Bombyx mori: one gene and its partners. The main gene of each other region encodes a partner of the protein of the gene in region 6 in a complex. Links are inferred from orthologs where the notes say so. Each region holds a gene or a part of one and is shown on either strand. Other genes may lie near its edges.

Evidence for each region.
Region 1: ALY (region 6) and THO complex subunit 3 share a complex: the UniProt entries of both Homo sapiens proteins name them as parts of the transcription/export (TREX) complex. The link is inferred for Bombyx mori from reciprocal best matches to the Homo sapiens genes ALYREF and THOC3.
Region 2: ALY (region 6) and THO complex subunit 7 homolog share a complex: the UniProt entries of both Homo sapiens proteins name them as parts of the transcription/export (TREX) complex. The link is inferred for Bombyx mori from reciprocal best matches to the Homo sapiens genes ALYREF and THOC7.
Region 3: ALY (region 6) and Y14 share a complex: the UniProt entries of both Homo sapiens proteins name them as parts of the ALYREF/THOC4-EJC-RNA complex. The link is inferred for Bombyx mori from reciprocal best matches to the Homo sapiens genes ALYREF and RBM8A.
Region 4: ALY (region 6) and SAP domain-containing ribonucleoprotein share a complex: the UniProt entries of both Homo sapiens proteins name them as parts of the transcription/export (TREX) complex. The link is inferred for Bombyx mori from reciprocal best matches to the Homo sapiens genes ALYREF and SARNP.
Region 5: ALY (region 6) and ATP-dependent RNA helicase WM6 share a complex: the UniProt entries of both Homo sapiens proteins name them as parts of the transcription/export (TREX) complex. The link is inferred for Bombyx mori from reciprocal best matches to the Homo sapiens genes ALYREF and DDX39B.
Region 7: ALY (region 6) and eIF4AIII share a complex: the UniProt entries of both Homo sapiens proteins name them as parts of the ALYREF/THOC4-EJC-RNA complex. The link is inferred for Bombyx mori from reciprocal best matches to the Homo sapiens genes ALYREF and EIF4A3.

What each region holds. Positions count from the first base shown.
Region 1 is NC_085132.1:2,069,957-2,072,481, forward strand, and holds the end of THO complex subunit 3, read left to right. Parts: intron 1-169; coding exon 170-331; intron 332-1,025; coding exon 1,026-1,126; intron 1,127-1,825; coding exon 1,826-1,983; 3' UTR 1,984-2,025; downstream 2,026-2,525. UniProt on the Homo sapiens protein: Component of the THO subcomplex of the TREX complex which is thought to couple mRNA transcription, processing and nuclear export, and which specifically associates with spliced mRNA and not with unspliced pre-mRNA.
Region 2 is NC_085129.1:4,007,871-4,011,116, reverse strand, and holds THO complex subunit 7 homolog, read right to left. Parts: upstream 2,098-3,246; 5' UTR 1,635-2,097; coding exon 1,625-1,634; intron 1,551-1,624; coding exon 1,427-1,550; intron 1,051-1,426; coding exon 576-1,050; 3' UTR 501-575; downstream 1-500. UniProt on the Homo sapiens protein: Component of the THO subcomplex of the TREX complex which is thought to couple mRNA transcription, processing and nuclear export, and which specifically associates with spliced mRNA and not with unspliced pre-mRNA.
Region 3 is NC_085108.1:4,111,901-4,116,120, reverse strand, and holds the start of Y14 (RNA binding motif protein Y14), read left to right. Parts: upstream 1-1,420; 5' UTR 1,421-1,558; coding exon 1,559-1,619; intron 1,620-2,299; coding exon 2,300-2,402; intron 2,403-2,554; coding exon 2,555-2,672; intron 2,673-3,705; coding exon 3,706-3,819; intron 3,820-4,220. Other genes in the region: uncharacterized protein LOC101745843, read right to left, coding at 1-130.
Region 4 is NC_085113.1:6,731,076-6,733,797, reverse strand, and holds SAP domain-containing ribonucleoprotein, read right to left. Parts: upstream 1,385-2,722; coding exon 593-1,384; 3' UTR 501-592; downstream 1-500. Other genes in the region: S-adenosylmethionine sensor upstream of mTORC1, read left to right, coding at 1-469. UniProt on the Homo sapiens protein: Binds both single-stranded and double-stranded DNA with higher affinity for the single-stranded form. Specifically binds to scaffold/matrix attachment region DNA. Also binds single-stranded RNA. Enhances RNA unwinding activity of DDX39A.
Region 5 is NC_085122.1:1,018,084-1,021,614, forward strand, and holds ATP-dependent RNA helicase WM6, read left to right. Parts: upstream 1-1,211; 5' UTR 1,212-1,603; coding exon 1,604-2,881; 3' UTR 2,882-3,031; downstream 3,032-3,531. UniProt on the Homo sapiens protein: Involved in nuclear export of spliced and unspliced mRNA. Component of the TREX complex which is thought to couple mRNA transcription, processing and nuclear export, and specifically associates with spliced mRNA and not with unspliced pre-mRNA.
Region 6 is NC_085114.1:10,512,187-10,516,211, reverse strand, and holds ALY, read left to right. Parts: upstream 1-1,239; 5' UTR 1,240-1,296; coding exon 1,297-1,500; intron 1,501-2,150; coding exon 2,151-2,367; intron 2,368-2,445; coding exon 2,446-2,640; intron 2,641-3,272; coding exon 3,273-3,421; 3' UTR 3,422-3,525; downstream 3,526-4,025. Other genes in the region: replication factor C (activator 1) 5, read right to left, coding at 148-212, 301-335. UniProt on the Homo sapiens protein: Functions as an mRNA export adapter; component of the transcription/export (TREX) complex which is thought to couple mRNA transcription, processing and nuclear export, and specifically associates with spliced mRNA and not with unspliced pre-mRNA.
Region 7 is NC_085131.1:3,885,623-3,889,583, reverse strand, and holds the start of eIF4AIII (eukaryotic initiation factor 4A-III), read right to left. Parts: upstream 2,801-3,961; 5' UTR 2,680-2,800; coding exon 2,529-2,679; intron 2,244-2,528; coding exon 1,908-2,243; intron 1,571-1,907; coding exon 1,348-1,570; intron 480-1,347; coding exon 225-479; intron 1-224. UniProt on the Homo sapiens protein: ATP-dependent RNA helicase. Involved in pre-mRNA splicing as component of the spliceosome. Core component of the splicing-dependent multiprotein exon junction complex (EJC) deposited at splice junctions on mRNAs.

The DNA of each region.
Region 1 (2,525 bases), on a different chromosome or scaffold from region 6:
ACAACAATAGCGGATGTGGCCTAAAATCACAAGTGACAGCAATTTGGTCGAAATTATAAGGCGGTTGCCCAAGTAGTGGTATGTGTCAATGTAGTGGCGGATAAGTGAGTCGCCAAAGTATGTATGGTGAGAGTTTAGTAAAATAACGAAAATTAATATTTCTCTCCAGTTATCCATCTCTAGAATTGCAGACAGTACTGAAGGCGCATCCTGGTACGTGTATCTGCATCGAGCACGACCCAACCGGTAGATACTTTGCTACTGGGTCAGCCGATGCTCTGGTCTCACTATGGGATGTCAATGAACTGGCCTGCTTAAGAGTTTTCTCCAGGTATTTTTTTTTGTTCTAGTTCATTGAATGTGCTGTAAAAGATATCAAATATACACAATATTATGCCAAAATGTAAACTAATTTCACTAGTGCGGGCTATTGACCAAGCTCCAACAGTCTGCGAAATGCAAACAAACAGACAAACTTGTATTTTTAATATTACGTGAAGATGAAGAGTAAAATACTGAGACCTCTGATACTAATAAATAGACTTGGAAATGGACTTGGAAGTTGGAAATTTGCGATGAAGGATGAACGGTGGATATTACCTAAATGGTACCCAGAATACATTATTCATTTAACATGGAAACATAGCAACCGTTGCTGTGCAATTATACTGTATTCACAAGAGAGTGTTAAAAGTAATTATCCTGGGAAAAGGCAGTGTTTCATTCTTTCTCAATTACAAATACCAGCCACACAGGGAAATTTAATATTGTTGCAATTAAATGGGTGGACGAGCTGACGGCCCACCTGGTGTTGAGTGTTTACCGGACCTCTTAGACATCTACAATGTAAACGTCGCTACCCACTTCGAGACATGAGTTCTAAGACCTGTCTTTACAGTACATCAGCTGCCCCATCCTTCAAACCGAAACGCATTACTGCTTCACGGCAGAAATAGGCAGGGTGGTGGTACCTACCCGTGCGGACCTACCCGTGCAATTAGAACATCTGGTGTGCAATGTTGCAGGTTGGAGTGGCCGGTCCGGACGCTGTCGTTTAGCTTCGACGGCAGGCTGCTGGCGTCCGCGAGCGAGGACCACATCATCGACATCGGAGACACGGAGACAGGTTCGTCTATTTTATATTCATTTACGGTCAGCGGTAACGATCCACAGTTACTAACTTGACTTCACAATTTTGTTTGTGACTGTACGGGACTCCAGTACCGAAAATTAGAGGGAAAATTAGACTAGGGATAGAATAGAAACAAATTTGGGTTGTCAAAATGCTGAGATTTAAATTTGTTGAATTGAAAAGGACTTTTATTTTATATTAAATTAGTCATCAGAGTTTCGTATTAAAGATATTAAAAAGTTAATTACCTTTAGGTAAGTGCCTACTTAACAGCTAAACAGTGCCAGCCCTATCGAGCCCCCCCCCCCCCAATCTACTTTGTCCAGGCAGCGCGCCGAAGTACAGCTATAAAGAAAAGTGCATAATAATTGGCAAGGTTAGCCAGACTAAGTGACTGAAGGACTCAAAATGCCAACGCCCCAGTCAGATCTAAGATCGTATCAAGAGGACTTTGCAGCAGCGTTGCCTTCGAAGCCGCAATCCTTATCAGGGTGGGAACAATTTGAGGAGGTGAATGCGGAGCTTCGATTGCCTAAAGAGTCTTCACACGAACAGCTCCCAGAGTGAAGCAGTAAGCCTTATGATTGAGGTTAAGAGCCTCGATGAAGGATCAGGACTTTTTTGTAGTGGTACCTAACCGCGTGGACTCACAAGAGGTCCTACCACCAGTAACCCCCTGTTAACCTGTTTCAGGGGAGAAAGTAGCAGAGATCCCGGTGTCCGCGTCCACGTTCACGGTGTCGTGGCATCCCGCGCGCTACCTGCTGGCCTTCGCCTGCGAGGACAAGGAGCCGCCCGAGAGGAAACGGGATTTGGGGAATCTCAAACTGTGGGGACTCTCTAGTTCTTAGTGTTGGAAATGTAATATACAAAATAAACTAAAATACTAAAAAGGATTGTGTGGTTTTATGAAACCACGGTAAAAGTGAAACATTTACATTAGACAGTGACAAAAACAAAAACAAAATAGCGTGGAGCACTGGCACAAATGAGTAACAGTCTATACACTACACGGTCAGCTGCTGCGAACTATAGGCGCCGCCATATTGGCCTTGGCTGCTCTGACGAGCGCCTTTCACTTTATCCCTACTCCGCGGCCGACCGTCACGCGACATGCAACACACAGACGAAAAAGTTTGAGACGATGTAATAAAAGATTAAACTAAAAATTTTTTTAAACTAATGGTCCCCCGGTAGTCGAAATTTGACTATAATTAAGTCAAATTATAAGTTTGTACACTACTATGGTTCTATATCGAGTTTAATGAGGGACGGTTTTATTCTGAAATGAGCTCAAATGGTTTTTTAAGCAAACTATAGTAGAATTATTTTGTCCGTGCAGTTTGGGTAATAAAAAATCGGAGCGGTGAAGCGAGTATTTCGCTCTCTCTTC
Region 2 (3,246 bases), on a different chromosome or scaffold from region 6:
AAAGGATCTACCAGGCAAAGCCTAGCTAAACTATCCTAATCCTAAACCTAGGACTTTAACCTACATCTAAACCTAATCCTAAACCTAAGAATCCTCGCAACGAAAAAGATCGGACCATACCTCTGGGAATGTCGCCCAGAGGATCCCGTGATCCGCCACCCACGGACGCGCCTGGTGGAAGTCCAGCATCTCCCCCGCAGACGAGACCCACAGCACGCAATCATTGCGGGCTGAAGGTCCCGTCCAGATCGCGGGCCCCTACGTAACCTGATTCAACCCCAAAGCCAAGGTGAATGGGGTCAAGCTATTTTTTTCAGTTTTTGTGTATTTTTGTAGTGAACAATGTATAGTAACGCATTGTATATAAATATTTAAGCCTCCAGAACCATTATGATCTCCGTTTTATTACTAAAACAAAAAAAAACTATACAAATCAATGTCGAACTTAAAAAGTGTCCCAATTCTCCCCATTTTACAGTACTGAAAATGTAAACAAAAAATCAAGTAGAAAATTCATACTTTATTAGAAATCTCACATAGAGAAATAATCTTATACTCTAATACATCACTCATTATTATGATTCATTTGATATTTCTTTCATATCAACATCATCACAAATAGTCTCTGCATCATCTAGTTCATCTAATAATGCTTGTAATTGATGTATTGAAGTTACAAGCACATGAAATTGTTTCTTTCGTAATGCTAACCGACTTTCCAATTGCTGTTTGGTGGTTTCCAAGTTTGCTAGTTCAGTCTTCAGAGTGCTCAATCTCTCAGAGGTTTCCTTACGATCAGGCTGTTCACTGATAACCTTAGCCAAGACATCATATTCTATTCTGTTTTTTCTGACAGTCTTTGCTTGTGCTAAATCTGTTTTGCTCTTCTGTATGTTCTCTTTGGCCACCTCTATTCCGCTTTCTAGAATTTTCGAGAGTGCTTCGTAGCTTTTTAATTCAGCAGCCATCATTTCAGAACCGAGTTGCGATTTTGTGACAGCAAATTCGCATTGTGCCAGTTGAGCTAACATACGATCATGAGTAGCTTTACTAAAACGAGAAATCTTAATCGTATTACATATTCTGGAACTACAAAAACTTACATTTTGACTGCAGATTTTTATTCTCATAATAAAACAACAAATGTATATGGGGAATAAATGAAAAGGTTAATGAACACTTAATTGAATATTAAGGCTCTTTATTATAGATAAACAGATGCCAACATTTCCCTGCTGGTATTAAATGCTTACCAGAACCTTTGGGACACGAGATAGAAGTTTCAATTGAATTTACAATGGCAATTCTACCCTTCAAATTGGAAGCTATGATCAATGCGGAAGCTATGATAATTCGGAAGTGGAACAGTGTTTACGCATGTGAGCTCACAATACGTCCTAATACGGTACTATTTATTAAAACCAACCTTTCTTCCGGTTTGTCATCCGTTGTATTGCACCATTTTATCAAAGTTTTTAAAAGTACATTCAGTCTCCTGTCGTCTCCAGTACCGTCACCGTCGATCAGAAGTCTTCTACGAATCACATCTTCTGGAAATAACCAATGAGTATTGAAATAGTATTTGTTTTTGAGTAGTTTTGTATTCTTAGGTAAAGTTATTTACCGTCACCCATTATGTTTGGAGTAAAATTCAAATGAAATTATGATCTCGTCCGAGTTTGCCTTATAAATTGTTAGGTAATGTTTTTATTCTACAAAATAATCTTATCATAAGCGAATTCAAATTTATCCTTGTTCTTTATATGTAAGTGCTAACTTGTGTGTTTTATTTACAAAAATCAAGAAAAATTAAAAATATTTTATCTCCAAATTTTGGCAGGTTAAATTATTAATAAAAAAAAAGTTTTTTTTATCCAACTCATAGGCAAAGGAGACATTCTCATAAGTTAAAAATGCTCTTCTTTTTATCTAAATATTTTACGACAAAGCCTGAAATCATATCTGTTGCATAAAAAATGAAATGATATAAATAAGACGATAACTATTTTTATATTTAAAGATGAAGAAAACTAAACTAAATAAAACATTCACACAGTATTACAACTTTACTATTTCACATTCCTGTCAAAATTGATTGAAACAAAATTGCTGACCGTGGTTTCTTGAGATCTCAAAATTTAATTGAACGCTGATTAAATTCTTAAGATTTTAAGAACACAAAGCTTAACCTTTTTATTTTAATTAAAAGATTTTGATCGGCTATTTTCCCTTTGCTCATTCAATGGACGAAAGAAAACCACAGACTATTATGAGATGCCTGCCAAACAAGAAAAAAAAACAGATGTCACAACCACAATTCACATGTTGTTTTGCCTTTCGAATTTCGATCCATTGTTCAGGAAATGATGAATAACTGCTATATTAAACCCTTTAAACTATTGAATCTATTTTAACAGTAAATTAGCTGAGTAAACTTTCGGAATATCTTTCACTGAAACAATGGAAACGTCAAGTTTCAGTGATAAAGTCGAGATTTATTTCTCGGAACTTGGGCGATGGCTAGTATCAATAAATAAATAAATAAAATATTTTTTGGGTAAACGTCCTTAAACTAACTAAGTGTGCATTTTCAGGAAAGTGTGGAGGAGCATACTGCTTGGTCAAGTGTTATCCTTATTTCTGAGCGGCAAATGTATATTAACAACAATGTTACAAAGCGCAACCTGGCAGTTTCCTATCACGGGGCAGCTGGTCGTGCCGTATTTAGTACTGTTTGTACTCTTTACCCCGAGCCTACTTTGTACCGGGCTGGAGAAGCTAACGAAGTAAGTTCCAATTCAATTTTAAGACATGAAAAATATCGTCTTTTAAACCAGTTCTATTATTGAAAGAAGTATAAGACAAGACTAAAATAATTAAACTTACTAGGTACTATTACTATCTTATGTTCAATGGTGAGTGCGCTAAGTTTTCTTAATATCTTCTTACTACAAATGTGGAAGTAACCAATATTTAAATCTAACTATAAAATGTTACATTTATCGAGATAATTTTCTCTTATTCTTTTGCTTTGGGATAACTTCCCGCTCTACTCTTTTTATTAGTCAGCAAAATAAAGTATAAAAACATTTCTTAATTCAAGCTAGTATCAGCTGTGACATGTTGGAAAGCTCTGTGCATTCTGTTGTGTGTTTTGCTTTTTTCTTTATTAATACAAGAAATGGAATGGTAGCTGGCCTAATTAACCTTTAAATTTTCAATGTTCAATTCAAAGATGACTGTCTG
Region 3 (4,220 bases), on a different chromosome or scaffold from region 6:
GTGGAGGCGAAGAACGCGGGGTCGGAATGGATGATTTGAATTTCCATTCTGAGAAAAGAGAACTTTTAGTTTTTTTCGTTATTATCAATTTTTCATCCACATCGTTTTCTAATAAATTACAGTCACTCATGATTTTACTACTAATTTCATTTCAATGTATGCTAATAGACTGAAACTCTGAAAGTTAGTTTGACATTGATTATTATTTATTTGATTACTCTATTCTTTTTTATTTTCAGATGATAAAAAATTCACAAGCTTAAAGAGTATATTAAAATTTTAAAAATCGCATTTATTTCAACTAAAGAATTAAAAAGAAAGATCAAAAGTTAGAAGTTCTTTTCATATTTGAAATAATTTAATCATATTTTATGATTTTCGAATATCATTGAAAATTGCATTGTACTTAAAAGAAGTGAAAGTGATAAATATATATAATAATTAAGTAACAAATAGCGGAGGAACTGGGGATACCTATCAGCGACGCACTCCACCGGGCTGCAGGGCGGGATCGATGGAGACAGTTGGTTGACGAAATCGGACGGAGTCACGATCCTCAGCAGTGAGGAACCGATCGAAGAGAGAGAGAGAGAGAACAGTTTCATATTATTCGAGGAAATTTGTATGATGATTAATAAATGTATACATATAACATAATTTTTTTGGCAATCCTTCCCTTTTTTTGGTGGTTTTTTAATCATATTTATGAAAAAAAAAATTGACATTTTTTTTGAAGTAGATATCTATTTGTGCTATTTTTTTATTTTTTCCTACTTATTCTGATAGCCTTGAGAGGCTATTAAATTTCAGCTTCGCCATAACTTTATAAACTTGACAGTATAAAGGCGGACTTAATGCCATTTAAAATACAGTTCTATACAATACACTTCTATTATGTATATTATCTATTTTTGACGTTGATGTACGATTGTTGTGGGACTTTTTGACGGGAACGCGAGGAATGAAGTTTTGTGATCTGTTTTGTTTTGTCTATTTAGTGCTTCTTCGAGTTTAAAGGCGTAATAACGGTGGTTTATTATCTGTTTAGTAACTGTGTAAGTGCACAAATGTGTGAAAATGAAACAAAGCCGCCGAACGTAATTTCTCGGGATCTTCCAAAAAGTGCACTGAAAAAGTCTCACTAAATGTCCACCATTTTCCTGAGATTATATTTCATCCCATATCATCTCATCTCCTTTCATTTCATTTCGTTTTAATTTCCATTCAATTTAATTTCCTGCCATATTTCATATAAAAAAAGTTTTCATTAAAATTAAAATAAGTCTTGACCTAAAAGTCTTAGTTACCAGGTCATAAAGTCCTTTAAAAATGTGATTGTCGTATACATGTCTTATCTATGAATAATCTCTCAAATATAATAAGTGTATAATCTATGGAATAATCTATGGTGGTCGTGTTTGATGCGGAGTTTTCAAGATTAATTTGTGTAACTTTTTGATTTTTTAAACTCATATGGTCTCTAGATAAATACATCTTTATTAATTACATTTTATTTAAATTATTTACTACTTCTCATAACGTAAATCTACTATAAAACATGGCTGACGTGCTAGATATCGAAAATTCAGAAGAATTTGAAGTCGACGAAGATGGTGAACGTAAGTGGAACAATTGATATTATTAAAAATATTTTAATCAAATTTTGTTTCCTATTCATTATCTGTAAAGTCTGCTCGTAGCTTAAACAAGCAATTATGTGTGGACATAAAACGGGAAATGTTGTCTCAATTAAGGTTATAATTTCCGACTGAATTTTTTTTACATTTGTAATGTTATTATCGCCGGTCGACGTTAAACTTTCACCACTGGGTTTAATTTAAATGCACACATACAAAATGATGCACACCAGACTTGTTAAGACATATAAATCTAACATATAGATTGCTTGTTCCCCATTTTTTCATATTTCGTGCTTTAGGACATTACATTGGTGATTCTTACGTGTTTTATAATTATTCTTGCACTAAATTAAGCTTAAAGTAAACTAAAAATTGTAATGTTGTTGATTTCCAAAAATAACACATAATATACTGGTGGTAGGAGCTCTTGTGAGTCCGCGCGGGTGGGTACCACCACCCTGCCTATTTCTGCCGTAGCAGCCGGGCAGCCGTTGTATACTTGAGACCTTAGAACTTATATCTCAAGGTGGATGGCGCATTTACATTGTGGATGTCTATGGGCTCCAGTAACCACTAAACAACAGGTGGGCTGTGAGATCATGCACCCAACAATAAAAAAAAAATTTAGTGTAAAATTACAGTATTTAAAAATGTTACAGAGGGAATCGCTAGACTTAAGGAGAAGGCACGTAAGCGAAAAGGTCGTGGTTTTGGCAACGAAGCCGGTGGAGGCAGTGCTGCAGAACGGGGTAACCGCGGAAGGTAATACACAGATTTTGTCATTTTCCATTGTACTGAATAATAATATTTCTTGCTAATCAACAGAAGCTCTGTTTCCACTCTGGAAAAACCCACAACCGAACCAGGCTTAACATGTCCAACAGTGGCCAAAACTTTGTATTGTTTTGTTGCAGATACGACAGTTTAGCTCCGGAAGGCGATAGCGGTACACCAGGACCTCAGAGATCAGTTGAAGGCTGGATCCTGTTTGTCAGTAATGTACATGAAGAAGCACAAGAAGAAGATATACAGGCAATTAAAACTTCTTTTATTTATATTTAGAAGATAAAATTTCCACTTTGTATCTACTTGTAGCTACTGTTTGAGACACACCTTAATTTGAAATGGTTATAATTACAAAAAAACAATGTGAAAGATTAAAAGGTATATTCCTATTTAATTAATGTGAAATGTGAAATAGGTTAAGTCAAAGAAAAGATATTTTGTCATGTCAATGTATTTGTTGGTAAATAGACACGCATCAATAGGGACATTGACATATTCATAAAAATGTGAATGTAGCCACTTTGAAACATTAGTGTAAATCTGTGGAATAGTATTGATCAATAATAATATAATAATTTAATAGGACTATAGGTTTTTTTTATTGCCTTTCTAGGCAACATGCGAGCAGTAGACGAGCATATGGCCCACCTGATGGTAAGTGGTCAGCGTCGCTTATCGACGTCAGCAATGCGCCAGGGACAGAGCCAAGCCGCTGCCTACATTACTACATTGCCAATAAGATTAAATTATTATATGACCAATAGAATAAGTATGTAATACAAATCCTTTTTTTTTAATAAAAATATGTCAAGTTTTTCATAGAATATATGCAGACCACTATTACAAATTTTATTGAAGTTCTTTAGGCGCGTTGTGAAAAATTGATGAGAGTGAAATTTTACGATGCACGCGCACCGTGACACAAATTTAACAGAAATGAAGTTGCCCACTAAATCGCTCATTAAAATACGACCGCCGTAACTTGGAGAGTCTGAATATAGCCGCAGGTGAACTTTCGCGCATGTTCACTCGTAAAAAAAAGTGTGATTAGCATTTATTTTTTACTAATATAAATGACAAAATTATTTTTTAATATAATTCATACTAAATATTATTAAATTATTAACATTAAATATATTTATTTAACATCTAAAAAAAAATAAAAATTAATAAAAATAAAGTATAACTTCTTACGCGCGTACATAAGTACACGCACCCTTTTTTTATAAGGATCGGTGATTCGATCAGTGGAAACAATATTAGTTTGTTTTGTTGACAGAATCAATTTTCCGAGTTTGGTGAGATAAAGAATATTCATCTGAATCTGGACCGACGCACAGGCTTCCTCAAAGGCTACGCTCTAGTTGAGTACGAGACTTATAAACAAGCCGCTGTAAGTACTTAGTGCTACTGATTAATATAAGACTTACTGTGCTTTGGTATCCACTTTATACATACTGAATGATGACCGGTTTTTTTTGATAACGCCATCTTGTTGTGTCTTTAAAGCGGTTAGTTGCCCTCAATTAAGAAAAATAGTATTATTATTCGCCAATAGATGTCAGGAAGAGTTAATTTTTGAAAACACGAATAAAACAACATTTTCTCAAAATAAATCGTAGCTAGATCGATTTATCGTCCCCGAAATCCCCTGTATACTAAGTTATATGAAAATCGTTGGAGCCGTTTCCGAGATTCAAATTATATACATATATATTAATATACAAGAATTGCTCGTTTAAAGATATCCACTGTATACATCTTAAACTTCGTATGTATCTTTTTTAATTGCTT
Region 4 (2,722 bases), on a different chromosome or scaffold from region 6:
AGACAATAAAGTTAAAGAAATAGGAGAAAATAGCTATGAAAGTGTGACATTTTGTTTTTTATTAGAATATATTCCAACTTCCCAGCTTCGAATAACTGCATGTCAAAAAGCCTATGACATATTGAAACCTGGAGGGTTGCTTACTGTTACCACACCGGATTCAAAACACGTTGGAGCAAATAGCAAAACAATGAAGTGCTGGCGTTATGCATTAGCCTTAATGGGTTTTTCAAGAATTCGTTATCAGAAATTTCAACACATGCATTGTATGGCATTTCGAAAGTGTTTATTGAAAGATGTAGCTATTCGCTGGGCTAATATTCATAAAGAACCTTTTATGGAATATGCACTACATATACCACAAGATTTTAATACTAATGAAATTAGTAAAAATTCTGCCCAAAACCAAGTCATCCATCACATAATTGATGATTTTCAAGAATTGCCATTCTATAACATGAACGAATGATTTAATATGTAATTAAAATGCTTAACAAATATTGACTTAGTAGAATGTTTTATTTATTTAAAACAATACTTATATACTAATCTTAATTTGTTAGAGTAGACTTTCCATTATCAGAAACATGTTCTATGCAACAGCACCAAATTTGGCTTTACGTTTTTCCAATTTCTCCTTTAGTTCAATATCTGTCATTATTTTGGAAACAGATTCACCAAACCTCTCTGCTCGCTTTCTAAGTTTTTCCATATTTTCGTTTAACGTCCCTGTACTAGTGAAGGTGTTCTGATTATCATTTTGATTAAACCTTTGTTTCCTGGCTTCCTTTCTCTCAGACTCGGACATTTTAATAGGCAAACCAAATCTTTTAGCACGCAACTCTAACCTTTTCTTTGGATCTAGATCAGTATTTATTTTAATGACATTATTACTTTCGGATGCCGTTTTCGGCTCTACAGATTTTTCATTAATTTGATCATCAACAGTTTTAGAACTGACAAGTGAAATTGATGAGGGTCTATTCAACACAATTTTCTTTGCACTAGCATTTTCTGCACTTTTATCTTTGGTTTCTGCGTTGGTTTTGCGTTTTAATGTTCGTGTTGATTTTGTTTCTACAGCGATTGTCGCAGTAGAAGACTGTTCCGAAAGAACTAAATCTTCGTTTAAAGTGTCCACGGCAGTATCATCAAGTACGTCTGTTTGGCTTTTAACTTCTTCGTCTTCAAAAACTCCGTCCGAGTCCATTTCGTCAAATTCAAAGTTGATGTCGGTGTGTTCATCTTGAGATATAATTGCAGCTTGTAGTCTAGCGATTAACTCTGCTTTGTCGCCGGCGTATGAAAGTCCACGTGATTTTAATTCTTTACGTAGTTCAACAACTTTCATCTTAGTCACATCGGAAACTGTTGAATCCGCCATAGTAATCAAAAGTAGTTTACGTTATTGAACAAGGAACTTTTAGAATGCTTACACGCGATGCTTAGCGTTAGCTTACACTAGAAATTAGAAATACGAAGTGTATAATCTATGTTCACTACTTTTTTTAAGAGATTTTATGACCTGGTAACTAACACTTTTAGGTCATGTCCTACTTTAATATTTAATATTCTTAATTTTATGAAAAATTATATGGAGTAAAATGAAATTAAGTGAAGATGATTAATTTGAGACATTAATCAACCAGAATGAAATTAAATTAAATAAGATGAGATGATATGAGATGAAATAAATCTTAGTCAAATATTTACGGAGATTTTATCAGTTGACTTTTTGGAGGATCCCGAGAAGTTACGTCCAGCGGCTTTATTTCATTTTCCCACATTTTTGCACTTTCACAGATATTAAACAGTTAATAAACCACCGTTATTACACATAACGGCCATCTGGTGTAGTGGTAAGTGACATGGTCACTACACAAGGGGGTCGCGGGTTCGAATCCCGCCAAGGGAAGATATTTGTATGATAAATATAAATGTCTTTTCCAGGGTTATGGATGTATATTAAATATATGTATGCGTATAATAAAAATCTTACATTTAAATCCGTTATCTGGTACCTGTAACACAAGTTCTTTACGAACTTATCACGGGACCAGTTAACGTGGCGTGATTGTTAGTAAATATTTATTTATTATTATTTATTATTTAAACCTGAAGAAACACTAAATAGACAAAATTAATCAAATCACACAACTTCACTCCTCGCGTTCCCGCCAAAAAGTCAGTTAGATTACAACGTAAAATGGAGCATAGATTACACGCTTAATTAAAATAGCTGCGAAATTTACACAACAACGTAAGTACCTGACAGACTAAAAGAGGGTAGAAGTTTAAACAGCACAATCTCTGAAAAAATGTGTGGAAAAGTGATTAAATGACTTTTTTACCGGGAACCCGGCATTGTGTGAATTGATTAATTTTATTTAATTTAGAATTTCATTTCGTCATGCTTAAACGTGTTATTACGGCAGCTTAAATTCCGATCCGGTGATAGATTCTGCGAAACACTCCTCTTGCTAGAGCTAGTATTAACAAACTTTCTCAGATTGAGCAGGTTGTAAGTTCACCCATCCGCGAGAACCTGGAATAGGTAGGGAAAACATTTATGTAATTAATAAGTACAAAATCTCTAAAAAATGTTCCAATTATACGCCGTATTTCTAATCAAGTGATATTAAGAGTGTTCATGTCGTAACTACGTTCATGCTTTGAAATTAGAAAAAACTTGAGTCTATCCAAATGATCGGAAATCGGAATA
Region 5 (3,531 bases), on a different chromosome or scaffold from region 6:
TAATTATTACAAATAATAAAAACGCTGACTTAGGTGGCGGTTTTTATTTGAACCAGTTCTAAATTATAAACTAAAATTCTATGAAAAATTACCCATATTTATCTATAATACGAAATGATATTAATTTGTTTTTCGTAGTTTCCTTCCTTCTTGCGTCGATAATCCTCAGTGCTGAGGGTCGCGGCCTCCTCTAATAACTTTCTCCTGCATCATCTTGCGCCATTCCTGCCTGTCCTCGGCTGTATGGATAGCAACGTGGACTGAAGTTTTGAGAGTGGAGCGTATTTGGTCCGACCAGCGCATTGGATTTCTGCCTCTGTGCCCTCTCCCGCATACCTTGCCTGTTACCAGCAACTTTTCCAGATTCTCACCTCTCTTTCTGGCGATATGTCCAAAGATCTCTAAACTCCTCCGCGCGCATGTAGTGCGGAGGCGCATTGGAATCTTGAGCTCGGTAAGAATGGATTCGTTGGTTCTGTGTTCTGTCCAACGAATCCCGAGCATTTTCCTCCAGCACCACATCTCAAACGCGTCGATGCGTTGGCGGTCGGCTTTCTTGAGGGTCCAAGTCTCTGCGCCGTAGAAAAAAATGCCACCCAAGCACAGTCCATTTGGAACATAGCCCTCTTTGCCATACTGATTCGCCTTCTGAGGTCCTTTTCGGAGGTTCCATTACTAGCTATGACGGAGCCCAGATAAATGAAATCCTCTACGTCTTCCAGGTTTAGCTTATTCGTAGTTTAATAAGTTATTATTGTTAGTAGTATTATTTACTAGTCGAAATATAAATTTTTAATTATCTTATGATGAGAATCTTATATTAATGAGAAAGATATTCAACAAAAATAGTTTCGTTCTAATAAATTAGCATAGTAATAGTACAGTGAACTAGCAATTTATTTTGGTAATTCTGAATTTAAACAAACATATTGATGAGAAGAATTCATTTTTACTTTGCAAATTTGTAAATACACGCTCTGTAGCAATGTACGGACATATAATAATATGAAGAAACAATAATAGCATCTACAAATATATATGTACTACGTGGTACTACATTTAATAAAATTAATACAACATTTATTAATTAAATTAATGAAATTGTGGTTTTAAAGTTTTAGGGGTGTATAAAAAATGGGGGGCGCTGAAAAATAATTGATATTCAAAGGGGGCGGTAAAAGAAATAAGTTTGATAATCACTGCTCTAAGTATTTCATTTTTAAATACTCATAAAATGGGTCATTTCAAAAAATAATATGACATGAAAAAAATCATATAAAAGACATATTATTCACGTGCTCACGTGAAAATAAAAACTATGATTGCATTATAGCTGTTCGCCTGTGTTCTTCTTTTTACTTTACACAAATAAAATTTCAAATTAATCAAAAATCAAATTGCAAATTTAATTCTCGTAAACTGTTGAGTGGCGAAAAAGCCAAGTGGCACGTCATATTTAACTGTCAAACATAACAAAAAAAGTTTGGATTGACGCCAAAAAAGCCGAAGCCGCCATTATTGTGAAATCGTATTGTAAAAATAAATTTCACGTGCTCACAGTGAGTACGATACAGTAAACAAGCTAATTAAACTAAAGTAAATCATGGCTGACAACGACGATCTTCTCGACTACGAAGATGAAGAACAAGCAGATCAACAGACTGCTGACGGGTCTACCGAAGTGGCGCCAAAGAAGGAGGTTAAAGGATCCTACGTATCCATCCACAGTTCTGGTTTTAGAGACTTCTTACTTAAGCCAGAGATACTCCGCGCTATTGTTGATTGCGGTTTTGAGCATCCTTCCGAAGTTCAACACGAATGCATTCCGCAAGCCGTCCTCGGTATGGACATACTTTGCCAAGCCAAGTCCGGTATGGGTAAGACAGCCGTGTTTGTTTTGGCAACATTGCAGCAGCTGGAACCCTCCGAGAGCCACGTTTACGTGCTTGTAATGTGCCACACCAGAGAGTTGGCTTTCCAAATAAGTAAGGAGTACGAGCGTTTCTCGAAATATATGTCAGGAGTCAGAGTATCAGTATTCTTTGGTGGTATGCCAATTCAGAAAGACGAGGAAGTCCTTAAGACAGCATGTCCTCACATTGTAGTGGGAACTCCCGGTAGAATTTTGGCATTAGTAAACAGTAAGAAACTTAATTTGAAACATTTAAAACACTTCATCCTTGATGAGTGTGATAAGATGCTGGAATCTCTAGACATGAGGCGAGATGTGCAGGAGATATTCCGGAACACTCCTCACGGGAAACAGGTGATGATGTTCTCAGCCACATTGAGTAAAGAAATCAGACCTGTGTGTAAGAAATTTATGCAAGACCCAATGGAAGTTTATGTAGATGATGAAGCCAAACTCAAGCTACATGGACTGCAGCAACATTATGTGAAACTAAAAGAAAATGAGAAGAATAAAAAACTCTTCGAACTACTTGATGTATTGGAGTTCAATCAGGTGGTTATTTTTGTGAAATCAGTACAGCGCTGCATAGCTCTGGCACAACTGCTCACCGACCAAAACTTCCCTGCCATTGGTATCCACAGAAATATGACCCAGGATGAGCGTCTCTCCCGCTATCAACAGTTCAAGGACTTCCAAAAAAGGATCCTGGTTGCAACAAATTTGTTTGGCCGGGGAATGGACATTGAAAGGGTAAATATTGTCTTCAACTATGACATGCCTGAAGATTCAGATACATATCTACATCGTGTCGCCCGCGCAGGAAGGTTTGGTACCAAAGGTCTGGCCATTACTATGATATCTGATGAAAATGATGCCAAGATCTTAAACCAAGTACAAGATCGTTTCGATGTGAACATTACAGAGCTGCCTGAAGAAATTGAGCTCTCTACCTACATCGAAGGACGATAGATTAAGTTTCATTCCCATACCTATTTACTGCTGTGGCTCATTTTGTTGGTAATTAGACTGGCCTGCTTTAACATTGATTTGTAATACATTGAGCCACATTTACTGTTTAACTAGGTTTATCTAATTAAAGTGACATTTCATATTGTGATATCTGAGTGTTTTATTTCTTTACCAACAATTTGGGAGCTTTCATCGTTATCAGTAAGACAGGCTGTGATATGTTTAACTTTAGAATGTAGACAGGAAATTGATATATTTATTTTGACCATGTTCATATTAATGTAACAAAATATCCATTTTGAACATATCATTTTGTCTTTATGACTTCATATTTTTATATTCTTAGACATGCAAAATTTACTGATATTGGATGTTAATACTTCACACAAATACTACTGGATGCATTTGGATAAAATTTCATGCCTAAAAACTTCAGAATAAAACAAGCCATAATTTAATTTAGAGTACCTACGTACAGTGTGAGAGGTGGGGTGCAAGTAGTTTCAAGAAATTACTGTTTTTAGAGCCTTGCTATAGGATAATTATACAGGAACGCGACCAGTTTTAACTGAAAAGTACAGAAGGCCCATGTCCAGTAACTGGTATCCACTACAAAATCAAAATCTATAATTGTCTGCCTACACTATATT
Region 6 (4,025 bases):
AGGGGGTTTATGCATTAACTGTTATAAGGTATTCGTATTACGGTTAGCAACTTAATATCAACCTGATTCAAGTCCAATTTTTATAGCCTTAAATTTGATAGTCTCTTTAAAATAATGTGATCATTAGTTTCAGAAATTTATACTTACTTGTTTTTATTATATCATCATGAGATACTAAATCATCCAATCTTTTTGGGCGATATTTTTCAACCCTGCGTAAAAACAAAGTGTTAATCGTCGTAGTAAAATATATTGAGTTATGATTTTTTTGTTTAAATCATTGTTAATGATAGTTCATACCATGGCAAATTTTGGCCTGTTTCCCCAACAGTCATATTGTTTTTATAACAGTATTTTTAAATCGCTTCTAGTATGTAAGTACAGATACTTTAATAAAAACGATTTATTTAAATTGTGGATTGGTTTACAAGCTTGAGGAAACTATAAAATTCAAAATTCGAACCATAGATAGTAGTAGCAGTTTTATTCATAGATTATACACTTAATATATTATTGGAAAGGCAAAGGTATCATACCATAAAGCGTAATCTTTTATATATTTTTTATATGTAAAATGATTTATGAAATGAAATGAAGTTGATTAATATGAAACATAACATGAAATGAAATGAAATGAAAATGAAATGGAATGAAATGAAATGAGATGAGATGATATGGGATGAAATATAATCTCAGTAAAATGGTAGTCATTTACTGAGACTTTTTCAGTGGACTTTTTAGAGGATCCCAAAAAGTTATGCTCAGCGGCTTTGTTTCAATTTTCCCACATTTGTGCACTTTCACAGATATTAAACAGGTTATAAACCACCGTTATTACACATTTAAACTTGGAGAAACACTAAATAGACAAAATAAAACAAAACACACAACTTCACTCCTCGCGCCAAAAATCTCGAACCATAAATAATACACTTCTTAATATTTGAATTTTGAGTGCATTAGCATTACGTGATTTGATTACCTAGTTAAAGATTAAAACTAAGCGCTTAATTTTTTAAACAGAAAGATTTGACCAAATCAACTGGTAAATGTAAAATAAAATAAACTAAGACAGATGTGTAAGATAGTCTTTATTGACTATAATTTCTACCAAATTTAAAGCTCAACAATTTTTTTCAATCTACTGTTGAACTAATATTAGCAATCTGGCAATAACGAATCTTTTCTTCGGCCATTTTGTCACCGTCTACTTGGGAAGGAAGAGTTCTAAAAGGATTGTTTTTGTTTTTGACTTAATTTTCATAGAAAAAATATTTAGAATTTCAAATAATCACCATGGTTGATCAAATTGAAATGGCACTGGATGATATTATAAAAGCCAACAAAAAGACAAGGATTGGAGGTGGTGCTGGAAGAAAATTTGATGCAAACAAAAGAACAGGACGTGGAGGCGGTGCTGGATTTCGTAGCAACCGCTCTGGTGGTGTACAACGAGGTAGAAATCGTGGAGGCATAACGAAATCTACCAACTATTCGAGGGTAATTCCAATAATTAGATGATTCTAAAATTACAAATGGCGGGCAAATGTGACGCATCAATGTATCTAATTTGTTCTCAAAAAGTCAAGCAACCATATGGACCATCTTGTTGAAATAGTTTTAGACGAAATTTGACACTTTGATTCAAATCAAGACCCTTATTTTATTCGTATCCGACCTATTTTCAACTTGAAACCATAATCCCAGCAACCATATTGTTATCTCCATCAACGTTTTTGTTTTGCATTGTTTACCTACATCTGCCGGAAAATTCTATGATGGATGCTGATATAAAAGTGTAATGAATTCGAGCAAAACGTTACTTTTGTGGAGATGTCTACAGTGCAGTTTTGACCAATTTATAGAATTGACTTCAGGAGTTGAAAAGTAAATAAATGGACTCCATGGACGGCTGAGACTGGTTGTGCTTCATAACTTATTAGTCTTGTGTCTGTGTGATGAAAGTGATAAAACAGTTCTATATTTTAATTTTCGAAAAAAAACATGTAAACTACATCAAATGTTATTTTATCAAGTGGTTCAGATGTCAATGTATTAATTTTAGTGCCTAAGCTTTGAGTTTTTATTATATTCAAAGGAGGCATAGAGAGTAGCCACATGGCTAGCTCTATGAAGGATGACCTTTTCAGGGTGATGTGAACAGCACTTGGAAACATGATATGTTCAATGATTTTGGTGAGAGGAAACTTCAAAGAAACAGTGGGACCATAACAACTGGTCCTACCAAGCTGCTTGTATCCAATTTGGACTTTGGAGTATCAGATTCAGATATAAAGGAACTATTTTCGGAATTTGGCATCCTCAAAAGTGCATCTGTACATTATGATCGGTCAGGTAGATCTTTAGGTATGTATCACAAAGCATAAAAACTTAGTTTGTTCCATTAAGTATTTCATCATACAAGATATTTTTAAATTTTTTTAGGTACTGCAGATGTTGTGTTTGAAAGAAAAGCAGATGCTGTGAAGGCTATGAAACAGTATAACGGAGTGCCACTTGATGGACGGGCAATGAATATACAATTGGCAACATCTGAAATCAATACTTTAAGGCCCGAGGCTAGAAATCGAATTGGTGGTGCGAGTGTGGGAGGTACTATACGAAACAATCCTAAAAGAGGTAAGATATTTTCCAGGATTTGTTTGTATGGGAGGAGTGATAACAAATTACATCATTGTGATTTGTGACAAATCACCATATACAAGATGGCCTCTTAGTCGAATCAATCTGGAAACACCTAGTTATTGTCGGAAAGATACTTCAATAAGGCCATTGGTCATGATAATCGCCATATTGTTGCTGCCGCTGACTATTTCTACCCACAGCAGAGACTAACTGTTGATGTCCTAGACACATAATTACGGATCCATCAGATCCAATAACTCTTGCATTAGACACCTGCTTTAACACTAACCATACTCATTGAACTCTAAAGAGTTTGATGTGCAACCTAATCCATAGACAGACTACTGATCTGGTAGTAGATTCATTTGCAAAGCAGCTGCCCATGAATTGTGTTAGACCTCTTTCGGAGGTGTTCAACTGTTAGCAAACCCTTCTCTTCTGGCTAAGCATTCGTGGTGTAACTGGAAAGGCCTCCGGCCCTAAATCCTTCATTTAAAAAAACATTATTAAAATTAATTACTTTTTTTAAAACTGATATTTTCCCACTAGTTCTTGTTGTACATTTTCACTTTACTGTTTGCAAGTTACAAATTACTAGAAATCCATTAATTATTTTATTTTTGAAGGAGGTGGAGGAATTAGAAATCAAAGCAATAGTGGAGCACGTGGGGGAAACAGAAGAGGACGTGGTGGTGCAGGCAGAGGCAAACGACCAGTACCTACTGCAGAACAATTAGATGCAGAGCTTGATGCATATGTGAAAGAAATCAAGTGAATAACTAATGAGAATGTGCATAGACACTCAGTTTTATCTTAAAATATGAATGAATAAGCTTTGTGTTCTCAATGTTCTAGATTAATTGTAAAAGTATAGGTTATACTAATAAAAGACTACGAATTATAAAGAAATTATAATTCTAGTACATGTATTAAATTGGATAAATAAACCCAGATTTGAAATTTTCTTGTATAGATTTCTTTTTAGTCTGTAGTTGTGTACACAAGTGTAAACATTTTTAAGGAGGTTATCGTAATTCAACTGTATTACAGTGAATGCATCTGCATTCGGCATCTGCCGATTTGGAAACTGCCTAGATCTTAAGCGTATCACTGCTCCACCTCCAAACATCACTACCTGTGTAGGTTAAAAATTATACGTAGCTACTGGTGATGTTATTCGTTCAATGTGGAAGTCTGTCAAAAACAATGAGAAATACTTTTTCAAAAAATTTTCATGGTCATTACACTCAATTTCAGCACATCAACAGTCATATTTAAAGCTACGGCAACATCAAAGTTCATTTATAAAAGGAGTTGTCGTACCCCCTTACAGGGGCACGGAACGGGCCTCGGGCAAACCCCACTGCTTGGACAGAAGC
Region 7 (3,961 bases), on a different chromosome or scaffold from region 6:
GCCCATCCAACACTCAACAAAAGCCCAGAGGCATTATTACATAAATGCTGTCTGTAAAGGTGATCCATATCTCGTTTACATTAAAAAAAAAAGAGCAATTGTATTTTTCATATTAAATCACTAGTGATATTAGTTCACGAAATTCGAAACCATTCACATTTAGATCTTGAAAACTAAAAGTCTTCAAGATCGTATTGTTTTTATTTTAATAGAATTTCCATTACCTTTGACCAGAACGAAATTCCTTCATAATGTTGTCTCTCTCTTTCTGTGGCATGTCACCATGCATTGAACTGACAGTGAAGTTTGCCTCTTGCATCTTCTGTGTGAGCCAGTCAACCTTCCTCTTTGTATTACAAAATATTACTGCTTGGGTAATTGTCAGTGTATCATAGAGGTCACAAAGTGTGTCAAACTTCCATTCTTCTCGTTCAACTGCCACGAAGAACTGTTTGATACCCTCCAGTGTCAACTCATCACTGTAGAAAAAATGATTCTTAATTTCAAATACATTTACCATGATAGAAAATTTGTTTACTTAATTACTATTTAGCTTGCATAGGTTTATGTGTTGAGCAATTAACAAAATGATAGTCCATACAGAAATAAGCTTCATCCTAGAAATAGTATAGTTGATAATGCTAAAATAAAACAGATAGTTTTCTACACTTAATGTAACTTCTTTTCTTAATCTAAATCTCCTCTAGTGTTTCCTGAGTACTGTGACATAATTTTATTCAAATGAGATATCAGGCAAATAACCCTTAGCGTCACTAGTGTCCATAGGCGGCAGTAATCACTCACTATCAGGTGGACAAATTCCTTCAAGGGCAATATAAAACAAATATTTCATTTAACTTAGTGGGTGGATGAGTTCAAGGCCCACGGTGTTAATGGTGTTAAGTGGTTACCAGAGTCCATAGACACCTAGAACAGCTTTGCTGTACTGAATTCCATGGGCGATTGTCACCACTCACCATCAGGTGGGTGGTATGCTAGTCTGCCTACAAGGACACTAAAAAAATAAAATGACATGAGTTCTAGTGTCTCGCATTTTACAGTACAACAGCTGACCCACCGTTCAAACCAAAACACATTACTGCGTCCCAGCAAAAATAGACAGGATCGTGGTACCTACCCGTGCGGACTTACAAGACATTCCTACCACCTACCACCAGTAATTACGCAAATTATAATTTTACATGTTTGATTTTTATTATAAGATGTTATTCCTTCACTATGGAAGTTAATCGTGAACAATTGTGAAGTACGTATTTCATTAGAAAAATTAGTACTTGCCTGCAGAATTCGAACTTTAATGTGTATTTTTGAAATAATCATACAAACCGTTTTACTAATATCCTTATTGGATCAGTCATAAACTTTGATGTCATTTCCAATATCTCATGGGGTAGTGTTGCTGATATTAGCACAACCTGAGTTGCAGGAGGCAGATAGCGGTATACATCATAAATTTGCTCTTTGAAACCTTTGTTCAACATCTCATCAGCCTCATCAAGAACCAGCATCTTTATTGACCGGGTTCTCAACACACGCCTTCTGATCATATCTGAAAATAAGATTGTTTTCTTATAATCTAGGGCACCCTACATCTTGCAGTGGATAGATTATTTAACTTTTTCAATTATTGCACAAGGATGACAATTTATAGACACCATCCCTGTTCTGAGATGCCTGAAACCATACACATGGGTTTGTGGTGAGACTACTGTAGTGAGTAGTACTGTTGGTGAATTTGAGAAGTGGAAGTTAAGTTACTACTTTCAAGAAATAAAAAAGGTGAACCAGCCAGATAACAAAAAAGATCACAGAAGGTTTATCTTTGGTTTTGGAAACTAAAACAATTAGTACTTATTTACTTGGATTAGCAATTTTCATTTATTTACCAAAAACTCTGCCAGGTGTGCCAGACACAACATGCTGTCCGTAATCCAATTTCCTTATATCTTCTCCAAGATTGGTACCTCCAATACAAGCATGACATTGAACGTTCATGAAATCTCCAAGAGCTAATATCACTTTCTGAATCTGAGTAGCCAGTTCACGGGTCGGTGAAAGAATAAGTACTTGAGTTTCACGCAGAGTCGTGTCTAAAGTCTGTAGTATTGAAATTGAGAATGTCGCAGTCTTTCCTGTACCAGATTGTGCTTGAGCTATTACATCTCTGCCTTTGACTATAGGCAAGATGCTTCTCTGCTGAATTGCTGAAGGTTTTTCGAAACCTGTAAATTAACGTTAGTTATTACTAAGTGGTTACCGGACCCCACATACACCACAATACGGAATCTACCAGCCCCCAAGGTTTAACAGTGCGATTGATTTTAAATGTATTGTAAATTAGTATGTCACTCTTCGAAGCCGGAACGCAGAACTGTTGCGAAAAAACAGGACGACAGTCTGACAGACGGACGACCATAATACGGTCTAAAGCTGGTAAGATAATGCCCACATGATCGTTTATGTAGGCAGTTGTAATAATTATAAATAACACCACAATTTGTACTAACCATATGTGTATATTCCTCGCAATAACTCATCTCGAAGTCCCATGGAGTCAAAAGTGGGAATAACTTCGACATCTTCACTCGTGTCGAACTCAACATTCGACAAATCTTCCGACAATATTTTTCTATTGGACGATACTTCAGACGATGTCATTTTTCGAATCTAGTTCGCTTCTAAGTTTTTAAAATAACAAGTTATACGATAGGTGAAAATCTCTTAGAATCTGAATTTCTAAATTACTAAAGGGAAACTTAAGAAACTGTGTCCATAACCATAGATAACACCATAGATAATGAATTTAATTCCATAAGATAGATAATACATTTCATACATAAGATCCATAGACTATTAAGTGATTATTACGCTTTTATTAGCTCCATACCTATGTAGGTATGTAACGGAATCTTTGAATATGATTTTGACCACCTTCAAAATGTCAGATTAACTTGAAATTTGGCATACTTAGGTATTAAGGACCGATGATAATTCAATATTTTAAACAGTAGACTCGTTATTTAATTTCGGCAGTCAAAACAACAAATTAATTTTTGCGCCTTCTTTTCTTCACTTAGAAAATTTGGAAACTGTTTTATTTGCCTGAATGCACATTAAAGAATAATTTATGATAGATAATAAGTAAACTAAAAAATGAAAAATACATAATAGTTTAAAAAAACTAAAATACATGTTTTTATAGAAAATCCAACTAAAAAATGGAAAATAATGTAGTGTGCAACAACGTTACTTCCCACACATCACAATAAATTTATTTAAAAAAAAGCGTGGGATGCTTTTTATGAGATTATCAAAATGATAAGACTTAGCTAGCAATTTCTGTCAATAAAATATTTAAACTATTGACGCCGCGCATCTCACGATTTTCTATAAAAACGTGTATTTTAGTTTTTTTTAATTATTATTTATTCATGTATTCTTAAGCCGCGATAACCGGAGTGATGGTAAGAACTCATCCGAAAATAATGTGATTGTTTATAGTACTGAAAGGCGACGACGCGGGGGCTCATAGCTACTGACGAAACCCCTTACTAAAATAAATTAATAATGTTGATTTGTAGATAGTCTGTGGTTTCAAGAGTCACAGGTAACAATCTAAAATGGAAAAGAAATAAAACGGCTATAGATTATACACAAAGTAAAAAAAACGTGATACAAAACGCGAAAGAAGAAACGTTAAAAAAAGAAAGTTTTAGAGCGTAACCAGCAAAAGATATAATGCGGCTACAAATTTTAAAAATACATGTATTATATGATTCTATAATTTAACTGTTGAAATTGTTAACTGTGCTTTACAAGATTAATTTGAGATCTAAACATTTTTTCGACTGGGTCGAAACAAAACGCAATTAACAACGCATTCGTTCAGAGGTCGAACTGGTCGAAGGAATTTCGTTTTAATTTGTGGCCAAAAGAACGA